Arabidopsis thaliana: one gene and its partners. The protein of the gene in region 1 interacts with the protein of each later gene in a biochemical or structural test. Each region holds a gene or a part of one and is shown in the gene's direction. Other genes may lie near its edges.

Region 1 (4,400 bases):
AAACCACCCATAGAGACGAAAACCAGGTGTACGGACAATCTATGATAAAATAAGATTTTAACTACCAAACCGGACCAAACTGTTATTTTCTCATCAAGCGTTACATATCTTTTAATTTCGATACCAAATACCAAAAATCTGCAATCAAATACTTGCTTCGCCAAGAAAACTCGCTCAAACCCTCCTTGCAGTTTTCAAGCTTCTCCAAAACCGGAACCAACTCGTTAGGTTTAGCTACTCTTACGTTCAATTCTTCAAATCTTATCCTCATCAATCTTATGGCGGAGAAGTAGTCTTGTACCATTAGTTCTGTCATTTCAATAACGATTTTGTTCAGCTTCGACTGTGGAGCTTTTGGCCTATCACTTATATGTTCGAATAGTTCTACTAGGAAATCAATTTGTTTGAGAATGCAATCCATTGGGTAAGACGAGACTCGCTGAGTCTCCAAACGCTTATCTTCGTTTTTTTCTTTTATGTTTGGAGTAATACCTAAAACCTCCGCAATAGATAAGTAACAATCTAGATATTGTTTGTACCTATTCAAAACCAAATTTTGATGAATCATAAAAATTTCGATTAAATTGTGATTTAACGTTAAATCAAAAACAAAAATATATAATAAAGAATAATCGACTTATCGATTGTGCTCATCTATATCCTAATCAATCCAACAGTATATAGAAATCTTACCATTGAACCCATGGAGTCAACTCTCTAGTAAAACGAGATGAATTTACATTAAGATCATTCAATTTAAGATTACTCCCTCCTTGAGTATAAATCAAAGTACGATGATTAATATTGTTCCGAAGACTATCTTCTCCATTATACCCACTTTCTGATTTAACCATTTTATGGAGAAGAATGAGACATTTAGCAGCCACACATACGTCCGTCGTCACACGCAGCCTATGCAAGATCGCATCAACAGTATCAGGACCGTAACACGTGTCAATAGTTGATTGGAGAAAAGTGACGTATTTGTCTGAAGGCGGGTTGTTTGAGGTATGAGACGTGGCTTTCAAGAGAGCTAAATCAATGGTTTTGGCATTCACGGAGCTACACAAATGAACCACATTGAGTTTCATCTGTGAGGCTTCGTCTTTCAATATGCCATTCAAGGTCGCTAATTTTCCCATTTGAAATATAGTTGTTCTATTCCAATGTTATGAAACTTTAGCAATGTGGCTTTGCTTTAATAATGTTTATAGGTTTCACAATGTGTTTTTGGTTTGATTTGATTGTAAGGTATCAAATATATATGTTGTATAATAGTCATCTATTGAACATGTGTATTAGATGGAATTTTCATGCCAGGATTTAATTAGATATTCAGTTTTGAAAATTAAATACACATGGATTTTATTGCAATAACTATTTAATTTATTATTATTTTATCTATTTATAAACTAAATTTAATGTTATTTTCTTAAAGTTTCATAAATGAATACTAAAGGTTTAATTTACCTCTATCTAGAGTACTTTGATTATGATATATTTTTGATAAAAAGTTCATTAAGAAAATCTGACAACATTTACATACGTATATGGATAAGATTTCTATTAATTGACTTATCTCTCAATTTATTTTAAGTGAAAATTGAACTAAAAAAACTTTTAAAATGACGTTTTCTCAACACATTTTGTAAGTATTCACATTATACAAAATTACAGACACTTTAATTTGTGAGTATAACACGTATTATTAAATAAACAGAAATGTAAGAAATATAAAACATTATTGCTTCAGTAATCAATTTCAAATCAATCAACTAACTCAACTCTCAATCTTTGTATCTAGATTTAAAGCCTGATTGGCTGATTTTACACCACTCACACGTTAATAATAGTTAACGTGCGTCAATGATATTATTATTTCTCGACTTATGTATTCTACATGGGCCACATCAGCAGAAACTAAGATTATAATTTCGTGGACTGATACACAACATATTAACGGGCTTAACCTAGACTCTACAACATGGGCTTTTATTTCATAGAGGCCTTCACTGTCAGGTTCCAAAATTTAGCGAAAAGGTTTAAAAGACGCGCCTAAATAAAAAAACTAAAAAATTGTGAAGGAAGCTAAAAAACTTGGGCGCTAAAGAAAACTAACCTGATTGGCTGCTTTAGACGTGACGCGGATCACTAAAATTAAAACAATCACAACCGTTGATTAAATAAAAGATCTAACGACGCAAAACAAATACTTCCCTTGTATACGCTTCGCTATAAAAACCAATCCAGTATCCCTTTAGTCTCAACATCTTCTTCTTCTTCATCAAATCTCACAAATCTTCAACACTTAATCACAAATCTCAAAGCTTCGGATACCAAATGGCTCGTACCAAGCAAACCGCAAGGAAATCCACCGGAGGAAAAGCCCCAAGGAAACAACTCGCAACAAAGGCGGCGAGGAAATCAGCTCCGGCGACCGGAGGAGTAAAGAAGCCACACAGATTCCGTCCTGGAACTGTTGCCCTAAGAGAAATCAGGAAGTATCAGAAGAGCACTGAGCTTCTGATCCGCAAGCTTCCGTTCCAGCGTTTGGTTCGTGAGATCGCTCAGGATTTCAAAACAGATCTGCGTTTCCAGAGCAGCGCCGTCGCAGCACTTCAGGAAGCGGCTGAAGCATACCTCGTTGGATTGTTTGAAGACACCAATCTTTGCGCGATTCATGCTAAGAGAGTCACTATCATGCCTAAGGATATTCAATTGGCGAGGAGAATTAGAGGCGAGAGGGCTTAAGAAGGAGATTGAAGTACTCTAGACTGTGATCGTTATGCTTATGTATATCTTTCGTTTTCCCTAATTTCGTGTTTTAGGGTTGGATTAGGTTTTGCGTTTATGTTGTTCGATATCTAACGGATCAAAATCTCTCCTTCCTTAGCAAAGTTTGAAAACTCCCTCCACATTTTCATCTCCTTTTCCACATAACCAACTCAACACTTTTCAATTTCTATAACAATTTCGAGAAATCAAAACCAGAATTAATAAAATTAACCAGTTGATTCTTTCTATATGGCTCGTACCAAGCAGACTGCTAGAATATCCACCGGAGGAAAAGCTCCGAGGAAGCAATTAGCGCCAAAAGCGGCGAGACAATCTGCACCAGCAACGGGAGGAGTGAAGAAGCCACACAGATTCCGTCCAGGAACTGTTGCGTTGAGAGATATTAGGAAATACCAAAAGAGTACCGAGATTTTGATCAGAAAGCTTCCGTTTCAGCGACTTGTTCGTGAGATCGCTCAAGATTTCAAAACGGATCTGAGGTTTCAGAGCAGTGCCGTCGCTGCTCTCCAGGAAGCTGCTGAGGCTTACCTTGTTGGGTTATTCGAAGATACAAACCTCTGTGCGATTCACGCAAAGAGGGTGACGATCATGCCTAAAGAGATCCAATTAGCGAGAAGGATTAGAGGTGAGAGAGCTCGAGGAGAGTGATGATTTTGTTGTTCTGCGAACTGGGATTTCATGGGTTTTTCGATTTACGGATTTGGGTTTATGTAAGTTTCGATCTTTGCTGCTTTGGAATGTCTTGTAGGTTGGTTAGTTAATGCTTTTATTTGCAGCTAAGGTGTTTGTGGAAATTCCCCAATGAAACTTGTAATGTTCAATACAATCCTTACTTTGGTTCTCAAAAGTCTTTAGAAATCTATGGTTCAAGATTTTACCTTATAATTCTCCAATGTCATGTGTAGGATGTCTTCTTACTCTGTCTCCGACTAACCAGACAGCATACACTTGTGTGATTACATAAAGACAGTTACACAGATCAACCGGAACCAAACACAAACACTCTAAATAAGATGCAAGACTTATATATTAACATCAAAGAAGACAATGTTGTGGTTTGAATAATTAGATCATTTGTGTCCGATAGAAGATTCTATTGACACTTCATCGCCGTGGAGTTGTAGATTGAGGATGAATGACATGATTGCTCTGGTCCTAACCAAAGCAATTGATGGCTCCAACATTCTCATAACCAGGCCGCTACTATCTCCCAAAGAAAGACTAGCATTGGTAGCCTGATGTCAATGTCTGTTAGATCATCAATCACTGGTGCTTCTGTTCCATTATAAACTATTGAGAATTGGTTCAGAATCATCATCATATATCCATCTCTTCTTTCCTAACATACATGATTGTTTTGTTTGTAGCTGAGGTATAACAAAATAGAATAATAGATCGTCCAGGTCCCACATAATCTCTAACAAACTTACGGTTTAGATTAGATAATCACCGTCAGATCTCACAGTTGCAAACATGATGAAAATAAACGGTCCAGATTCCTCTAACGTTCTCAAATAAGAAAAAGGAAACAACGGTTGAAGAAAAAAGGAAATAATCGGAAGTTTCCTTTTCTTTTAGTCGAAGAGCCTTTTGCTTATAAATAC
Region 2 (6,290 bases), about 20 Mb from region 1:
CGCGGGATTAAAACATGATTATTAAGCGTGGACCACTACTAATAGGCTAATACAAATTTCTAATGACTCTTCTTTTGCTTCTCTTGTTTATTTATTGCCTCAAACAGCTTAGAGTACTGGTATATGAGCATCATTGTCTTGATGTCTGGATATGCAAAGGATGCGAATATCGCAATTTCCGCTTTCTCCATATGGTATTACTTAAATCCGAAGAAGTTTTTTTTTCCATATACATATGAAAACTAAATACTTAATTCAAAATTTGCAGCCAATATATCTACTCATGGGAGATGAACATATGCTTTGGCTTGATGGGTGCAGCATGGTTTGTAACTATATACGTACTCTCATTCACAGTATTTTGTTTTTGATGTATACATATATTATTTGTTTAATACTAAAGTGAATGTTTCTCTATCTATGAATCCGAAAATGTAGTGTACGAGTGGCGAATGAATTGGGAAAAGGCGATGCGGATGCGGTGAGATTCTCGATAAAAGTGGTGCTTGTGGTATCAGCGGTGATCGGTGTGATATGTTCCGCTCTTTGCCTAGCGTTTGGCGGTCAGATTTCGTATTTGTTCTCTGATAGCCAAGCAGTTTCGGATGCAGTAGCTGATCTCTCCATCGTCCTTAGCATATCTATACTCTTCAACATCATCCAGCCCATTCTATCTGGTTACAAAATAAAACCCTTATATTAGACATAAATAAATTATAACATAAACTTTTAGATTTCACTAATTTGTAACCACTAAATTTGTTTGAACATATATAAACAGGGGTAGCAATTGGAGCAGGGATGCAGAGTATGGTAGCATTAGTGAACTTAGCATCTTATTATGCAATTGGTGTTCCTTTAGGTGTCCTCCTTGTTTACGTTTTCAATTTTGGGATTAAGGTACATCATATATATGAAAACTGGTATCCAGTACTTCATTATGATCAATCATTAGAACTTTTAGAATTTTAACTTGAATAAATGATATTGTATGCAGGGACTCTGGTCCGGAATGTTGGCTGGAGTTGGTATCCAAACGTTGATATTGTGTTATGTTATTTACAAAACTGACTGGGAATTGGAGGTAATTTACTTTTAATATATAACTCAAAATTTTTATTAGAAAATTCGTCATATTAAATGTATAATTTTATCTAATTACAGGTTAAGAAGACAAACGAGCGTATGAAAACGTGGACTCTAAATTTACCTGCTGTACAATCGACTACTATCTCCACAAGAGATGAAGAGAGAAAGTGAACATACAACTAAGTTAATTTAAAGAAATCTTTTAAGAAATTCTTTATAAAAAAAGAAAGAATAATTTATGTTGTATTGTGGTTGTGTTTTGCATTCCCTAAGAATGAAGTATCGGTGTTGAGATTGCATTATTAGGTTAATGCAACTCTCATAACTTTGAAAAAGGTTAAGAAGGATGAACTTTTTCTTTTATCAGAGAAAAAGGTTGTTCTCTTGTTCTTCGGATATACTCTTTCTAAACAAAAAAAAAATTGTGGGAGGTTTGAAATTTTAACTTCTTTCTTGATTTTTTAATGGATGTATATTTTGTGTGTGGGGAAAAAAATTCCATTTGTTTGAGTGCTTGTAATCGTGAATTTTTACAAAAAAAATATTCTCATATATATTTCGAGGAAACGTTACAAACTTTCATAAGCTCACCATCAAATAAAATACTCATTTATTTATGTTGAAGTCAAAACGTTCCATTTTTCCCCCTATTTATGAACCGATCCTAATGAATGTTTTTTTTCTTCCTTTTTACTTCTTTCATATCACCATTTTAAATAATAATAGTAATTATTATTTTTCTAACGTTTAAACAAAAAAAGAACTGCAAATTTTATAGTAACAATTCAAATTTAACAAAGCGATCAAAACATGCATCATTTAGTGTACAAGTACTAATCACAAAGAAACAAGTTTTGGTTGGACAAAGTATAGAACAAACACACTAAACTGAAGAAAATAGAACTTTAGCCCACCAAAAGTTGAGGCTAAAACTCGAGCAGTAATCACATAGTTACTATCAAGATAACTATACTTTGGAATGAAAGAATCTGAATCTCGATGAAGTTTATCTTGGAGAAGGACTTTCTTTTCTGTTGGTTTGGATGAGATATTGCTGAAAATTATTGATGATGATGTTAGGAGATCCAACTAAGTTGTCTGCCTTTGCAGTGCACTTGGAGACTTGGAGTGAGAATCTTAGTTTATGAGACTTATTTTCTGATTTTTCAATCTCCTTTGATTTTTTTTTAAGTTGTAATAATGTCCTAGTTGATTTCCTTGTAAAAGGAGCAAGAGCACGATGTTCTTTTATTTCTAATTTAAAGAAAATGTTTTCAGTTTAATATATTTTTCGATTTAATTTACCTTCACATATTTTCTTCAGTAGTATTTATTATTTTCATATTAGTAATTAGAAATAATCTCTTCTAATTAGATTATAAACGTTAAGAATTTGCTGTATTCAACTTTTCCTATTGTGATATTAAAAAAAAAAAAAAAAAAGAGAATCCAAAAAAGTGAAAAAACTGGTCTTTGAGGTCAGGTCAGGTCTTCTTCCTGCAAAAACAAAAACCTCAGAAATAGAGAAAAAGTTTCAATCTTTCTTCATCTTCTTCCTCCAAAATCCTTGATTTCTAAAAAGGAGAAGAAGAGAAGAGAACGCGATTACCTTGATTCACCCTCCTCCTTCAGGTTTGGGAGGCTCGAATACTCAGGAAATGAAAGGGGCAAGTGGTGCTGTTAAGAAGAAACCCCAGGTGTTGAACGAAGCTGGTGAGGCGGAGACGGCGGTGGAAACAGTCGGAGAAAGCCGGAAAATTAGTGGAGACGGTGGGTTTGGCAGTGACGACGGCGGAGGGGGAGGTGGAGGTGGAAGTGGAGAGTCGATTCTTCGCGAGATTGGTGATGATAGGCCTACGGAGGATGGAGATGAAGAAGAAGAAGAGGACGAGGATGAAGATGATGGAGGTGATGAGGAAGATGAAGAAGGAGAAGGAGAAGGTGGGCAAGAGGAAAGGCCAAAGCTTGATGAAGGGTTTTATGAAATTGAAGCTATTCGTCGTAAGAGAGTTCGAAAAGTAAGCTCCTTTTTTCGTCTTCACTCAGCAAATGTGGTTTGTTTTTGTTAACCATAATTAGTTGAGGTTTTAGGTTTTCTAGGTTTAAGATAAGTATCAAACGTAGGTTACACATTGGTGTGAGAAAGTGGCTGCTTTAGTAGTTAGTAATCATCGTAACAGAGTAGTTTATAACGAACCAAAGTTTTGATTCTGTGGTTGTTATATGTTGTAGGAAGAAAATGATCTTTAATGTTTGATATCTTCTTGGATTTGATTGATTGAATGATTCTGATTCTGCATTTTGGTACTGTTTTTTTTTTTGTATTTGTAGGGCAAGGTTCAGTATCTAATTAAATGGTGAGTTTTTCTAATCTTACTTGGTTTCATTTTTAAGTTTGTTGTTCTTGATTAAACATATGTTTTTCCATTGACATAAGTTATAAACTCGGTTGTGAAAGGCGCGGATGGCCTGAAACTGCCAACACATGGGAGCCTTTAGAGAATCTCCAGTCTATTGCTGATGTTATAGATGCCTTTGAGGGAAGGTAAGTAAATGGAATCTTATATAAAAGTTTTGTGATACTTTTGAATTGATTGTTTCATGGATTTTCTTGGTTTAATGTATGGATTTGCTTTCTTGTTTCATATGTTTCAAAGTTTGAAGCCAGGAAAGCCTGGTAGGAAACGGAAGCGCAAATATGCAGGTCCTCATTCTCAGATGAAGAAGAAGCAACGTTTAACATCTACATCACATGATGCTACTGAGAAATCTGACTCTTCTACGTCTCTCAACAACTCTAGCCTTCCTGACATTCCTGATCCACTAGACCTAAGCGGTTCGAGTCTATTAAATAGAGATGTGGAAGCGAAGAATGCTTATGTATCCAACCAAGTTGAAGCCAACAGTGGGAGTGTTGGGATGGCCCGACAAGTTCGTTTGATTGACAATGAGAAAGAATATGATCCAACACTTAACGAGCTACGAGGACCAGTCAACAATAGTAACGGTGCAGGATGTTCTCAAGGAGGAGGCATTGGTTCTGAAGGTGATAATGTAAGACCCAATGGCCTTCTCAAGGTTTATCCTAAGGAGCTTGATAAGAACAGTCGTTTCATAGGTGCTAAGCGGAGGAAGTCTGGTTCTGTGAAAAGATTCAAACAAGATGGATCCACAAGTAACAACCACACAGCACCTACAGATCAGAATCTGACACCAGATTTGACTACATTAGACTCTTTTGGTAGGATTGCAAGGATGGGGAATGAATATCCTGGTGTGATGGAAAATTGTAATTTGTCTCAGAAAACCAAGATTGAGGAGTTGGACATCACGAAGATACTTAAACCAATGAGTTTTACAGCATCTGTATCAGACAATGTCCAGGAAGTGTTGGTGACCTTTTTAGCGCTGAGGTTTGTCTCTTTAGCTCTTTGGTCATTTCTCGTAATTTGATTTCATATTTGTACAATTGTACTTATTTGGTTACTCTCATAGGTCTGATGGGAAGGAAGCATTGGTGGACAACAGATTTCTCAAGGCTCACAATCCTCATCTCGTAAGATTATCTTTATAGCTTTTTTTTTCTGCACTTACTCATTTGGAAGTTTCTTATTAGCTTTTCTAATTTGTTTTTCCCACACCAGCTGATTGAATTCTATGAGCAACATCTCAAGTACAATCGAACGCCTTAAATCATCCGGAATGGTAAGAATTTGTTTGTACACAGCCCTTGTAGGTAGAAAAGATTAGATGGCTTCTTTATTCTAGCAGTGCAACATGTAGAGTCGAGGTAGCGACAATTGGATTTTGTATCGCGTCTCCGGGAGGTTTCAGATTGTAATTTATCTCCTCGGGTTCGTTGTGTTCACTCTCTATCTCTATCATAGTAAATCTTGTTACTTGGACCTTTGCTTCTTATAGCGGAAGTTTTCTTGTACTTGCTTCTTCAAAGATCAAGTTCATGATATGTTGATGTTATCAAAATATATGTGATCAATCAATATATAATAATTATGTTTACAAGCAAACCAAGTAATTTTTTTTACTTTCGTATGACATTTCGCTGATGTAATTTGGAATGACGCTCTCGAGCCAAAGGAACTGGAAGAAACTTGATCCTCTTGGGATTTAGTTGTTCCTTATGCAAGAACTCAGTTTCATATGCTCTTCTTTTCAAAATTCTTGCGTCATCAAATGCCTTTGGAAGATCCAAATCAGAACTCTGAATTTTGTCAGAGTCATTAGAGAACTCTTGCATCATGTCTTTGAGTGATATAAGGTGTACCGCACATTTTTTAACCTCTCCAAGCGGGCTAAAGGAATCTCCTTCTGTGTTTTCGACTGAGAATTCAAACAGGGCTTCGCTGTAAGCTTCCATGGACGTGCAGGTTCTGCTGAATAAGAGAAGGTGATCTGATCCAAAATACATGTTTGTGAAAGCTTTTGGATCAGGATACCACACCTCATCCATAACAACCAGCTCACAAGCATCAGCATCTTTTAATATACAAGAGCAGTGTATCTTCAGATTGTTCATCGGGTACTGTCCATCAACTCCAATCATGATGCAGGCAGAAAATCCCAGAATGTCAGACGATGATTCACTCTGAGGTAACTGTATATTCAGCGAAGGACCCATGACTTGGTGATTGAAGCAAGTGGGTATGTCACTTCCAGGAAAATAAGAGTGTTCTGGTTTTGCTGACTCTAGCTTCAAGTTACGGTGAATGAGAATCTGCGCTGCTTGATCCAATTTGTAACAGTTGCTAGCTACAAGCTTTCGCAGACAATATTGGTTGAAGCAACCTGAGATACTCACTAGTGATGTGCAGCTATGGATGTAGATATACAAGAGACCTCGTGGAAGCTCATCGGGCAATGCTTGAAGTCTCTGGCAATTGTTTAAATTCAGTCTGTTCAACCTGGTGAGCCGTTTGATGCTTGCGGGGATGAATTCAAAATTGTTCCCACTCAAATCTAGTTCTAGTAGATTCCATAAGTTACCAATACTGTTAGGAATCTCTGTCATGTTCATGTTGCTTAGGCTCAGAGCTCTCAAGTCATCAAACCTTGATAAGGGAGGACAAAGAGAATGCAACAAACCTTCTGGAGTAAAGAAACTATTCCCAATCGCTAAAACTTGAAGACGGGTAAGTCGTGCAATAGACCATGGTGCTCGCCTTATCACTGTTCTACTGGCT
Region 3 (6,378 bases), on another chromosome or scaffold:
AAGAAGACCGTAAGTATTAGTTCCAAACATTTAGACCCATTATATAGAAACAGACATAGAATTTGGAAATTTTGAATAAACCGATCAAGCTGAGAGTAACTAAGAGAACACAAATAAATAAGAAACTCAAAATATTTAAGAGATTTCAGTCAGTGAATAACGAAAGTACCTCGGAGTAGAGATTCAACGTTGTATTAGAAGTAACCAACGACGGGAGATCTAGTTGAGCTCAAGTCACCGGATAATATTTCGCAAGATTGCGGCGGCGGAGAGAGATTGGTTTCAAAGAGTTTGAGATCGATGAGTGTAAGAGAGAAATGATGAAAAAGAAGTAGAAGAAATAGAGTTAGGTTTGTTTGTAGTTTCTCAAACATAATAAGGGTATAATTGTCATTTATCATATATAATACAACTTTTAAGCGTTGACCGCAGCATTATGCCGCACTTACTTGCATCTGCCGCTGTTGCAGCAACCTAGATAATCAAACGAACATCTTATTAAAAAAAAACAGAAGCTGAAAGCCCAAGCTTATTTAAAGATGGGCCAATAGGGGCCTGCATAAAGTTCCAATTTTATTTAGAAAATATCTATTTAACATCATTTATGAATAAAGTGTCCTCCGATGCTATTTGGGTTTGGTTAAAGATGGATTTTGGAGGTTTTCCAAATGATGTCAGATTTTGAAGATGAACAATGAAATAAATATATCTAAAGCTTATACATCTAGGTCTCTTACCCAACGGCGATGAAATAAAGAATACATGTACTAAAACGACGCATGCAAAATAATACCTGAAATTTTCTTTCTACGTTGGAACTCATTGCAAAAGATGAGGAATATTGCATAGCCATGGATTGGATAGAGCCATAAAGAATCGGTACACATTGCTTTTCATATTTTAATATCGTTAAGGCGTAATGTAATAAGTATTAGAAATGGATTTTTAAAAGTATTTAGATAGTTCGGGTTTAAATTTTATTTTATTGCTGATTGGACTTTGTTTTACAATTATAGAGAAATAATTTTGTGTTAAATTATAGTATTATACGACATTCACACAATTACATTTACATTAACATGTACCACGTCTATTTTATAATATTGCTCCAAAACGAAAGAGTGGTCTTCACGACGAGCGAGGTTTAAAATTTGTAGTCGTGCATTGCAAAAAGCTGCGAAAACCGTGTGAACTCTCAACCAAACCAAATATGATATGAAGAAATTGGTTCTTGTCCATTCGGTGGTTAGTGTGCATGCATGTCGGTGAATTTTATATGTTTTCCATTTACGACCTTTTCTCTTTATATCATATAGATTTTTAGGGGAAAAAAAAATCATATAGATTTTTAAAAAATCATGTTCCCAATTAAGACATAATGTTTAGTAGCCAAATTGAGAACCAACCTTTTTTCTGTTTATTAAATAATTTAAGTGGATGGATTTTACACATATATTTTAATGTCTTACATAAATAAAATATCATGTTATTTTTTTTGATAATATCATGTTTTATTGATAAAATCCATACATACTTGATACTTGCAAAAAATATCATGCACAAATTTATCTCTATAAATGGTTATCTACCTTTTTTTTTTTTTTTTTTTTGAACACAATTTACCTAATAATCTTAATAAATATAAGAGAAATGTAACGCATACTTTTGTTGGACATTGTTTTTGGTCGAGTCTGATTGGTTTTTTGTTCAGATCTATCGGATTTATGTATTTAAGATCTAATAAACAAATTATAAAAAATTTGATTCGATTTGGTTATCGATTTTATTAATAATGTTAATATAATCCGACTTACTTTGGTTAGAAAAATTAATTCAAAAGTAACAACAAAAAAAAATTGGATAACAAAACCATCTAAAATCCTGCTAATTAATTCACATCTAATAACCGAATCCGAACCTAAATGACCAAACCATTTGTGTAAAAATCTCAAGCCTAGTCCCTATATTTCAATAGATTTTTTTCTTTTTTTTTTGGTCAAGATCAATAGATTTTTTTCATCAATTCAATTTATTGCAAATTTGCAATAATAGTTGGTAAATACTATAAATGTAAATGGTCACGGGATAACAAAAGAGCAATAATAATATAATAATTGCATAAGACGAGTCAACATGACCAAGAAACATTGAAGGGTTCGTAACTTCGTATCATCTTCCTCCTCCTCCTTTGATAAACACCAAAAAAAGGCAGAGACTTTCGAAATCAAGAACAATGGAGAAACCAAACCCTAGAAGACCCTCAAACAGTGTTCTTCCATACGAAACACCAAGATTAAGAGATCACTATCTCCTCGGCAAAAAGCTAGGCCAAGGCCAATTTGGAACAACCTATCTCTGTACAGAGAAATCATCATCAGCTAATTACGCTTGCAAATCAATCCCAAAACGTAAGCTTGTATGTCGTGAAGACTACGAAGATGTATGGCGTGAGATTCAGATCATGCATCATCTCTCTGAGCATCCTAATGTTGTTAGAATCAAGGGTACTTATGAAGACTCTGTTTTTGTTCACATTGTTATGGAAGTTTGTGAAGGTGGTGAGCTTTTTGATCGGATTGTTTCTAAAGGGTGTTTTAGTGAACGTGAAGCTGCTAAGTTGATTAAGACTATTCTTGGTGTTGTTGAGGCTTGTCATTCTCTTGGTGTTATGCATAGAGATCTTAAGCCTGAGAATTTCTTGTTTGATAGTCCCAGTGATGATGCTAAGCTTAAAGCTACAGACTTTGGTTTGTCTGTCTTCTACAAGCCAGGTTCGTTGTTGATTCTTCTCTTTTGATTGGAATCTTATGGTTTTTGTCTTTGTTGGTTGGTTCAAGGAAATGTTTTGATTTGGTTTCTTGATTCGGATTTGCTGCTTGAGCATTGTTAGGGAAAGATTGAATTTTGTTATATCTGGTTTTGACATTTAGTTGATATATATGGATGTGTTGATTGTGCAAGGTTTTGTTATATATGTAACATATGCTTATGGTTATGAAGCGATCTTATCAGATTTTATTCGATTCATTGTCTAGATTATGTTGAGAAATGTCTTGTTTGGTGTTGAAAATCGGTTTCATGATATGTTATCTGTAGAATCATTTGTTGAATGGTCATTTCCAATTTGCTGCTTGAGCATTGTTAGAGAACCAATAATTTTCTGTGGCTAGATCTTTCTGAATCTTTTCTTGCAAGATTTACATAGTTTTGTTGTGTTACTTATGCTTATGTAATGATGCTATCAGAGCTACATTGTGTCCGACTAATTTCAGTGCTTAACAAAATTTTCAATTGTGTGGGTTTGCATCTTCAGGGCAGTATCTGTATGATGTAGTTGGAAGTCCGTATTATGTTGCACCTGAGGTTCTGAAGAAATGTTATGGACCAGAGATAGACGTGTGGAGCGCCGGTGTTATCTTGTACATCTTACTAAGTGGGGTTCCTCCTTTTTGGGCAGGTAAGTTTGTGAAAGCTAGTACCGTTGTTACTACTGAATCAAGTATATTGCTTATGTGATTTAAGCATCCATGAGTAATTTGTTTGCAGAAACCGAGTCAGGAATCTTTAGGCAGATATTGCAAGGGAAGATAGATTTTAAATCTGATCCGTGGCCTACTATCTCAGAAGGTGCTAAAGATTTGATTTACAAAATGCTCGATAGGAGCCCCAAGAAACGTATTTCTGCACATGAAGCATTGTGTAAGTTGTTACTTATGATTGTTTTCCTCTCTGCTACATGTATTTTGTTGTTCATTTCTGTAAGATATAAGAATTGAGTTTTCCTCTGATGATATTATTAGGTCACCCTTGGATTGTTGATGAACATGCTGCACCAGACAAGCCTCTCGACCCAGCAGTCTTGTCGCGACTTAAGCAGTTCTCGCAAATGAATAAAATCAAGAAAATGGCCTTACGAGTAAGAAAGTTGTAGCCCTTTAGTCTCCACTCTCATTGCTTATTTTCAAGAACTGATTTCCCTGTTAGGAAGATCGACTAAGATAACACATTTTAAGAACTATTTTCAGGAAATGAATAAACTTAAGTAAATGGCCTTATAAGTTGGAAAGCTATAGTTCTTTAAACTCTCAATGCCATTGCTTATATTCAAGAACTGATTTCCCGGTTTAGGTAATCGCGGAGAGACTCTCGGAGGAAGAGATTGGTGGTCTGAAGGAATTGTTCAAAATGATAGATACAGACAACAGTGGAACAATCACCTTTGAAGAGCTTAAAGCAGGTCTAAAGAGAGTTGGATCTGAATTGATGGAATCAGAAATCAAGTCTCTTATGGATGCGGTAATTATACCAAAACAAAAACTCTCTTTTAGAATATTGATTTCTCCGTTCTTCTAGGAATCACAAAGCTTAAATGGTGTTTTGCAGGCGGATATAGACAACAGTGGGACAATAGACTACGGTGAATTCCTAGCAGCGACATTACATATAAACAAGATGGAGAGAGAAGAGAACTTGGTGGTTGCGTTTTCATACTTTGATAAAGATGGTAGCGGTTATATCACCATTGACGAGCTTCAACAAGCCTGCACAGAGTTTGGTCTCTGTGACACTCCTCTTGATGACATGATCAAAGAGATTGATCTTGATAATGTAAGAAGCCTTCATGATCTGTTTCCTTTGTCTTGTTTCTTAGTGAGTTTGGTTTAAAACTGATGATGAAAATATGTGGTTTTGTTAGGACGGGAAGATTGATTTCTCAGAGTTTACTGCTATGATGAAGAAAGGAGATGGTGTTGGGAGGAGCAGAACTATGAGGAACAACTTGAACTTCAATATAGCTGAAGCTTTTGGAGTTGAGGACACAAGCAGCACTGCTAAATCTGATGATTCACCAAAGTAATTATAATCATCTATATACTTGGAATTGAGAAATGAGAACTCACAAAAGAAAAACTGAATCTTTCCTTTTTGTTTTCGTTTCCACTTTTGTAGATGAGCAACTTTCTCAATTTTGTTATAAGCATGGATAATTTTGCTTCATATTTTCTGCGTATAGAACCATTATATGATCAGAATCACCCATATTTGGTCAAAGCAATGTCTTCAAGCATTTACATAATCATGTTTGTTATACATAAGCCAATAGGCTGCAGAGTCAGATCTCTGAATCAAGTATTCAATATACAAAGCCAATCATGATTCAGTAAACTAGCTACACAAACACTTACTACTACAAGGGGGTAAGAGAAGCTCTCAAATCGAAGACAATAAACAAATCAAAGCCAGAGTTAGCGATTTTAAGCTCCGCGATGTTGCAGAAACAATCTTCTTCTTTTATCTTGAGCTCATAAACACCTTTGAAATGCTGCCATGCGACTGAAAGGTGCTGCTCATCAATATCTATATAAATGATTATACTCTTCAGTCTTCGACTCTTCATTCATATACTCTCTTTCTCTTTAGAAGGGCAGGGAATATGGAGATGGATCCAATGAGGAACAGCACTGACAAGGTCTTGAAATCATACAAATCCTTTACTGATCTGAGATCTCCAAGAGCCAAACCAGCCTGTGTAAATGAAAGTAAATGTTAGCCTCTTAAACACGAAAGAACAGCGGAATGAGATTGAACAATAGACTCACTCTAACTGTGATGTACGAAGCTGGCATAAGACCGACTAGAGTCGCCAAAAAGAAGACGTGAAAGGGTATGTCAACGATTGGAGAAGACAAATTGATAAAGAGGTTTGGAAGTGTTGGTGTTATCCTTAAGAACAGCATGTAGTTTAGCAGCCTATCTCTTCTTTTCGCAATCTGACCCATTGAAGATTTCAAGACATTAATGCTTTCAGAACAAGAGACATTACTAAATACTAATCAAACACAAAAGAACTTACCTCAGCTTGGAAAAACCTCAACTTTTCAGGCCATAACCAGTTAACCAATGGCCTACCGACCAATTTCGATAAGAAGAAGCAAGAACATGCTCCAGCAGTTGCATTAAGGACAACAAGAACAAAACCTCTAACCACACCGAAAAGAGCTCCAGCAAGCAATGACATAAAGATCGTTCCAGGTATCATAAATGTCTGCATAAAGATATACGTCGAACAGTAACCTAAAATGAACCGTGCTTGGTACTCACTTGCATAAGACCCAAGATTCTCTCTGCACATATTCATCATATCAATATATCATCATCATATAGTAAGTCCAAGCATATCACATTCAACTGAAAACGCAACTTTCAAATCAAGTCTTAATGCTAATGCATGTACTTATTTTGAAATTCAAGTAACACTACTAAAAGCTAAACACTTTCAGTTTCTACATTTGCATAAATTCAATTCTCAATCTATAATACCAAACAACAAGCTAATCACATACAAACAAACTGAGAATGCTGATTCTAGAATCATGT
Region 4 (6,583 bases), on another chromosome or scaffold:
GAGCCTTGCGCTCTACCAACTGAGCTAGACGGGCTTGTTGACTATATTCACACTATTGTTATACTCATATAAAAAAAACACATCCCAATTTTAACTAGATGCAGGAAAGAAATTTGCAAGGACGGTGCTCTGCGACAAAAGATTCTTGTGAAGAAACAAACTGAAAACTCATCAGCTTATATTATAAGGCTAAAGCTAGTGTTATGTCTGTAAAAAAGATGCATATATATAAATAGAGCTGAATAAAATTACAACAATGACAATCACCTGCCTTTCCCATTGGCGACTTCACATCTTTATTTTACTCAGAAGAGTCACATTCATCATCAAACATGGCTGATGACAACAGTCCCTGTACAAACTCACACTTCTTTGCCTTCTCCAATTTATCACTATCCGATAAAGGACACGACGATGTACCCTCTTTTGCTGCTGACGAATCCTTAATCGGATTCTTGTCTTCTACACTTGAATCAGGCAGCACAAGCTTGGTCTGATTTGGTAATGCAGAATTGTTGATGAACGATAAAAATTGATCGGAAACATGTTTAGAGGGATGCTGATGATGATTCATAGATGGTGGCAACTCATCAAGATGAGGTTGAAGATATTTATCAGATAAATATGGATCTTCCCTGTAAGACATTTCCTTCTGCTCACTGTAAAATTATCGGTCAAGGAATTTCAAATAAATCACATTCATTATAGCGACGGAAATTTGACTTGAAAGGTTTTGAAAAGAAACAAAAAAGGATATCTTCAAGACATCTCTATGATGTGATGTTATATGATCCACCATATGCATCTTCACCCTTTTGCTACATACAGGACATATCTACAAAAACCACAAAACAACCAAAACGAATTGTAAGATGATGCTACCACATGACAATTCACGGAACCAGATTAATAATGTTCCATCATACTACTTATATATTCATTTCTTTAGCTCGTAAAACCAATCTATGCTTCAAAACAGAGAGCTCAAGTCACCTACTCTCTATAGCAAGTATGTAAAGCCAAAAAAAGTGTCAAAAGTATTAATATCCTAAAACCTTAAACTGATCAATGGAGAGTTATGTAAAACCCAAAGAGTAACTTAAGATAAGAGTGGCATGTTTCTCTATTAAAACTATTTGCAATAGCAATCAGATTCTCAAACGCATCAATCTAAAACAAATCCTAATCAAAATTATAGATTGAAGTTATGTTTCCCACAATCCGAATAACTAAGCTGTGTAAAACTGCTTCATGTGAAGCTTGAGTGTGAAATGAAAAGAGCAGGAGAGATAGGAAGTGAATTCACAAACCCCATTGTTAGCTTCATGACGATGTTCTTCGTCGATATGGTGACACAATTCAACTAAATCATAATCACTTGCGCAAAACGGGCATGGATACTCCACTGCTATATCGTCGTCAACTTCTTCAAACTCTTCCAAATCTTGATAAGGCCCTGAAATATTCACCACTAATTAACTCGAGAGCAAAAGAGAAAAAAAAAGTCTTCTCTCATCTAAAAAGCAAAACGTAAAGCTACAATTTTTAACTTAAACGACCAACTACAAAAAGTCATCAAAACAGAACTCAACTCAATCGAAACCCAATTAAGACCAATCTTCAATCATAAACCCTAAAAATGAAGTTTGAAAGAAAAATTGAGGGGATTTGGATAATAAACCTGATTGATACTTAGCAGCAGTTTCCGATCGATAGCTTCTAGAAGAACCAGATGAGCTAACGCACCACATATCGTCTTCCATCTGCTTTGTCGGAGCCTTTCTTATGTAAAAATCTCAGATAATTGATGAGAGACCTTCTTCGTCGTGTCAGCTAAATACCCAATTGTGTAAGAGATAGCAGAAAGAAAATGTCAAGAAACTACTCCACGGAAAGGCCAAACCTTTTTTTAATCCGCCGAGTCTTAATGGACAAGAATACTTCGGGTGGTAAGAGTGAACTACTATTATACCCTTACATTGCACTGAGCCTTTTTCTCAGCTAACTCAGGGGTGTTTTTGTCCTTTTCTTGTAAGGATGTTACTGTTATTGCATTGCTCCCCAAGTTAATTATCAGTAAAGGCCTGACTTGAAATTATATAAATGGGCTTAAAGTCAAGATTTTGAAATGATATAAATGGGCTTGAAGTCAAGATTTTGAAATTATTTAAATGGGCTTGTAGGCCTAATAATAAAAGCCCATGTTAAAATCTGAGAATTTTTAGATTCTGATAGACGGAAAATCCCAATTTTCCCGGAAATTTTCAGACAAAATCGCGTTGAGATTCAACAACTTTGAGTGAGTTTTTTTTTTTGTCATTTACCTTTGTCGCTTCGACGTGAGACGAGCCGTGGAAGAAGACGAAAGGGCTCTTAAGCTCTCTTTACTCTTTTCTTCTCCTCCTCTTTTTGAGATGGGAAGCCCTAACGCCGCCGCCGAGACGGATCTAACAACCGATGATTTCATCGGAGACACACGACGGGACTCTGGTTCTGATACAGAGACCAACACCGATTGTGACGGAGAAGATTTGCCTCTTCTTCTGCTACCTGCTCCTCCCGGCCACTTCGAAGAAGGAGAGAGAGTTTTAGCCAAACACAGTGATTGCTTCTACGAAGCCAAGGTTAGTGAAATACACTCTCTGTATTCTTGAATTAGAGTGTTCTTCTCTGCTTATGCTTTATGTCTCTGATCGTTTCCTTTTTTTTTTTTATAATAATATTCTCAGGTTCTTAAAGTTGAATTTAAAGACAATGAATGGAAATATTTTGTGCATTACATTGTAAGTAGATACTGTATATGTTTAAAATCATTCTTTTGAGCTATTTTGCTTCTATCTTTAGTTTTGAAGATGTAAATGATTTCTTTTGGCAGGGTTGGAACAAAAGGTTAGAGCTTCATCCAATATAGTTACTGGCTTCTAATCGGTTTGAAATCATTTGAAACTATTTATAAATAAGAGAATTCTTCATATGGTGATTTACTGATTTGTTTGCCAAGTCTCAGTTTTTTGATAATGTAAAAAAGTCTTTGACTCTTGTATCTCTTCTATACAATGATAGTTGGGACGAATGGATAAGGCTGGACTGTCTGTTGAAACATTCAGATGAGAATATTGAGAAACAGAAAGAACAGGGTTTGAAACAGCAAGGGATTAAGAGTGCTATGGCTTGGAAAGTGTCAAAGATGAAACCTAGAAGCCCTAATGGTCAGTCAGCTTCTTCTTTTGTTTGTTTTGCATATTCTTGTCTCGATGGATATCTTGCTGCTTTTGTGGATATTCAGAGTCTCTATCAGGGACTCTCATTTGGTCTTGCTTGCTTTATTCTATGTCGACTAAGTAGAAGTTGTTGAGATTAAAGTATACATACACATCTTTCGTTGTTAGTTGAGATATTGTGTCAGTTGAGATATTGTGTCAGCTGAGATTTTGTTCAATATTTTCTTAATTTTTGCAGTTGCTAGAGGAAGAAAGCGGAAGCAAGATTCTGTTGATACGGTAATCGCTCCTTTAGTGGATGTATTTGCTTAATCTTTCAGCTTCCAAATATCCAGGGATTTTTTTAATCAGGGGAGTCTTACTCATGTCTTGTTGTTTGCTGAATACAGGAGAAGAATGTGCTTCCCTCTGACAACCTTTTAAGTTTCAATATTCCACCAGCATTAAGGAAGCAACTTCTTGACGATTTTGAATTTGTTACTCAGATGCAGAAGGTATTTCTATCAGCCTGTTATTTCTTCTCTCAATTCTCAAACGGTCTTTTCTGTGTGTTTTGACGCAGTTGACCATAGTCTTTTGATTCATTTAGTCAGAGAAAAAATATTCTTGTAGTCGCATGAATATATTTGTTGTGAATGTCATATTTAGGTGCATATGTTAAGGAATTTATTTTAAGTCATTTTTGGGAATTGTCTGAGCAGCTTGTGCAACTTCCGCGTTCTCCAAATGTGGATGGCATCTTGAAGAAGTACATTGACAGCCAAATGAAGAAACATGGCAGGTAAGCTCTTTGTGGATTATAGTTTCTTTCTGCTGTCAGTTTCCAACAGTTACACTTGTTAATCTCTTTTGTTGCTATTCTCATATACTTAAAGAGAGTATAAATCATTTGTATATGCTCCATGGATAATTTGGTTGACAGATAAAGCGTATTCCAAGCTTCTGATATATCTAGTACTTTCTTTGGTGAATCTATATAGGGTAACAGATTCATTAGAGGAAATTCTGAAAGGCTTGCGTTGCTACTTTGACAAAGCTTTACCGGTGATGTTGCTTTACAACAATGAACGGAAGCAGTACGAGGAATCCGTATCAGGGGGTGTTTCTCCTTCAACTGTGTACGGAGCAGAGCATTTGTTGCGACTCTTTGGTAAGGCCAGTTTTTGTAATCTGCAAATCTGCCTTTATCATGTGGTTTAGTTGTCAAGATAAGACTATATAAATATTGAGTTTTGCAGTGAAATTACCGGAGTTGCTAGTACATGTGAATATGGCAGAAGAGACATTGAAGGAATTGCAGGACAACTTTGTTGATATTCTCAGGTTTCTTCTTCTTGTTCTCCTACTTAACTCTTTTTACAAGTATTTAAAGACAAATAACAAAAACAAAATGATAAAGCAGGTTCTTGAGGAAGAATCAGAGTGTGCTTTTTGTATCGACATACAAAGCAGTGGAAGAAATGGAGAAGAAAGAAGGTTAGGAAATTGTGCCTAATGACGTGTTCTTGTAAGTATGTGCAGCGAATCTTCTCTTTGTAGTATTTTGTAACGAGACCTAAGACCATCCTGACCATCCTTATTGATGGTCTCTTAACATAACTCTTATGTTAAGAGATATGTCTTATAATTAACAAAAGTGACTTAAAGTCTCTTATATAAGAAATTTTGTTAGTTATAAAACATGTCTCTTAGCATAAGAATTGTTTTAAGAGATCATCAATAATGATGATCTAAGAACTATTATACTATGTTCCGTCTCGATTTTGAAAGTACTTAAACGTCGTTATCGTGTTTGTCTCGGCGTTTTAAATTCCACTGTATTAGTAAGAATTTATTTTTAAAATAACTTTAGTCATTTTTAATTATCTCTTCTCCCTTTTCAATTATTAATGATCATAGTAACTTCTCTTGATTTGTAAATATGCTACATAGTTGATCTTTTGAATATACGAATGAAAACATATTATAATAGTATGTGTTCAAAATCTTTTGAGTTTTATGAGTACAGAACTATATGTTTAATGGGCAGATTAGTATATAAAATTACCAGTGCATCAGAAGGAATAATGATCTACTCGAGTAGTATATCAAAATAATACTATTCAAATGTATACCAACGACAATGAGTTCAAAATCATCAAACCCCATGGGATGATGAGCAAATAATATTTTTATCAGCTACTCTATACATCATTTGATGATAATATGCAAAAATTGTATACCAATGAGTTCAAAATTATCAAACCACATGGGATGAGAAAAAAGCATATTACTATTTTTAAACAGCTTCTCCAATATAAATTTATTTGACCGTTACGGAAAGGGAGAGAGATACACACACTCTTTCTCTTTTATTATTTTCCGTTTATTTGACTTTTCTTCTTTATAGATCGACCTGGTCCCACGTAATCTTTTCAAACTTACCGTTTGGATTCGATAATCACCGTCCGATCTCACATGAAGCAACGTGAATAAAATGAACGGTTTAGATCTATCGACCGTTTATAGCAATACCTTTCTCCTTTATAATCTCTATATCTCTCTCTCTCTGAATTTCGAAAATTATAATGCTCTTCTGCTTCGTACTAGCTGCTTCAGCTTCTTCTTCTTCTTCCTTAGATTCAAAATCTCTCTTCTTCTGAGTTTCTGATTTTCAAGTTTGAGAACTACTCTTTTCCTTCTAAATCTTTGATTTTTTTCTCTCGTGATTTTTGTGGTTCACTGCTAATTGTGAACCAAAGATGGTGAAATCAGCAGCTTCTCAGTCACCATCTCCGGTGACTATAACGGTGACACCATGTAAAGGATCCGGCGACAGAAGCTTAGGATTGACGAGTCCTATCCCACGCGCCTCCGTCATCACCAACCAAAACTCTCCTCTAAGCTCAAGAGCCACGCGTCGCACTTCCATTAGCAGCGGGAATCGGAGATCTAACGGTGATGAAGGAAGATACTGTTCTATGTCTGTGGAAGATCTAACGGCGGAGACGACTAATTCAGAGTGCGTTCTGAGCTATACTGTTCATATCCCACCTACGCCGGATCATCAGACGGTGTTCGCTTCACAGGAGAGTGAAGAAGACGAGATGCTAAAAGGGAATTCGAATCAAAAAAGTTTCCTCTCTGGGACGATTTTCACCGGTGGGTTTAAATCGGTGACACGTGGTCATGTGATCGATTGTTCTATGGATAGAGCTGATCCGGAGAAGAAGTCAGGTCAGATCTGCTGGTTAAAAGGTTGTGATGAGAAAGTTGTTCACGGGAGATGTGAGTGTGGTTTCCGAATCTGTAGAGATTGTTACTTTGATTGTATCACAAGTGGTGGAGGCAATTGTCCTGGTTGCAAAGAGCCTTATAGGGAT

The links.
Region 2: the proteins of AT5G65360 (region 1) and TFL2 interact in a test that uses a peptide from one of them, tested with the Arabidopsis thaliana proteins (one study listed by BioGRID).
Region 3: of the proteins of AT5G65360 (region 1) and CPK4, one has a biochemical effect on the other in vitro, tested with the Arabidopsis thaliana proteins (one study listed by BioGRID).
Region 4: the proteins of AT5G65360 (region 1) and AT1G02740 are reported together in a solved structure, tested with the Arabidopsis thaliana proteins (one study listed by BioGRID).

What each region holds. Positions count from the first base shown.
Region 1 is NC_003076.8:26,118,450-26,122,849, reverse strand, and holds AT5G65360 (Histone superfamily protein), read left to right. Parts: upstream 1-2,268; 5' UTR 2,269-2,340; coding exon 2,341-2,751; 3' UTR 2,752-2,991; downstream 2,992-4,400. Other genes in the region: AT5G65370 (ENTH/ANTH/VHS superfamily protein), read right to left, coding at 101-539, 694-1,142; HTR11 (histone 3 11), read left to right, coding at 3,025-3,444. UniProt on the Arabidopsis thaliana protein: Core component of nucleosome. Nucleosomes wrap and compact DNA into chromatin, limiting DNA accessibility to the cellular machineries which require DNA as a template.
Region 2 is NC_003076.8:5,825,995-5,832,284, reverse strand, and holds TFL2 (uncharacterized protein), read left to right. Parts: upstream 1-2,524; 5' UTR 2,525-2,747; coding exon 2,748-3,107; intron 3,108-3,420; coding exon 3,421-3,446; intron 3,447-3,526; coding exon 3,527-3,634; intron 3,635-3,746; coding exon 3,747-4,502; intron 4,503-4,584; coding exon 4,585-4,645; coding exon of another isoform or gene 4,646-4,663; exon of another isoform or gene 4,664-4,733; coding exon 4,734-4,781; 3' UTR 4,782-5,114; downstream 5,115-6,290. Other genes in the region: AT5G17700 (MATE efflux family protein), read left to right, coding at 108-194, 269-325, 439-677, 782-900, 998-1,084, 1,165-1,260; AT5G17680 (disease resistance protein (TIR-NBS-LRR class)), read right to left, coding at 5,132-6,290.
Region 3 is NC_003075.7:6,047,327-6,053,704, forward strand, and holds CPK4 (calcium-dependent protein kinase 4), read left to right. Parts: upstream 1-2,114; 5' UTR 2,115-2,233; coding exon 2,234-2,771; intron 2,772-3,313; coding exon 3,314-3,457; intron 3,458-3,546; coding exon 3,547-3,699; intron 3,700-3,800; coding exon 3,801-3,916; intron 3,917-4,128; coding exon 4,129-4,296; intron 4,297-4,383; coding exon 4,384-4,608; intron 4,609-4,696; coding exon 4,697-4,858; 3' UTR 4,859-5,054; downstream 5,055-6,378. Other genes in the region: AT4G09580 (SNARE associated Golgi protein family), read right to left, coding at 5,395-5,526, 5,601-5,771, 5,855-6,125. UniProt on the Arabidopsis thaliana protein: May play a role in signal transduction pathways that involve calcium as a second messenger. Functions as a regulator of the calcium-mediated abscisic acid (ABA) signaling pathway. Phosphorylates ABA-responsive transcription factors ABF1 and ABF4 in vitro.
Region 4 is NC_003070.9:597,853-604,435, reverse strand, and holds AT1G02740 (MRG family protein), read left to right. Parts: upstream 1-2,236; 5' UTR 2,237-2,414; coding exon 2,415-2,624; intron 2,625-2,729; coding exon 2,730-2,783; intron 2,784-2,875; coding exon 2,876-2,889; intron 2,890-3,063; coding exon 3,064-3,209; intron 3,210-3,459; coding exon 3,460-3,500; intron 3,501-3,610; coding exon 3,611-3,715; intron 3,716-3,922; coding exon 3,923-4,002; intron 4,003-4,201; coding exon 4,202-4,371; intron 4,372-4,459; coding exon 4,460-4,544; intron 4,545-4,623; coding exon 4,624-4,702; 3' UTR 4,703-5,106; downstream 5,107-6,583. Other genes in the region: AT1G02750 (Drought-responsive family protein), read right to left, coding at 302-661, 758-835, 1,311-1,456, 1,682-1,763; CSLD5 (cellulose synthase-like D5), read left to right, coding at 5,963-6,583. UniProt on the Arabidopsis thaliana protein: Chromatin remodeling factor. Acts as a 'reader' protein by binding to H3K4me3 and H3K36me3 to control histone H4 acetylation. Increases the transcriptional levels of the flowering time genes FLC and FT.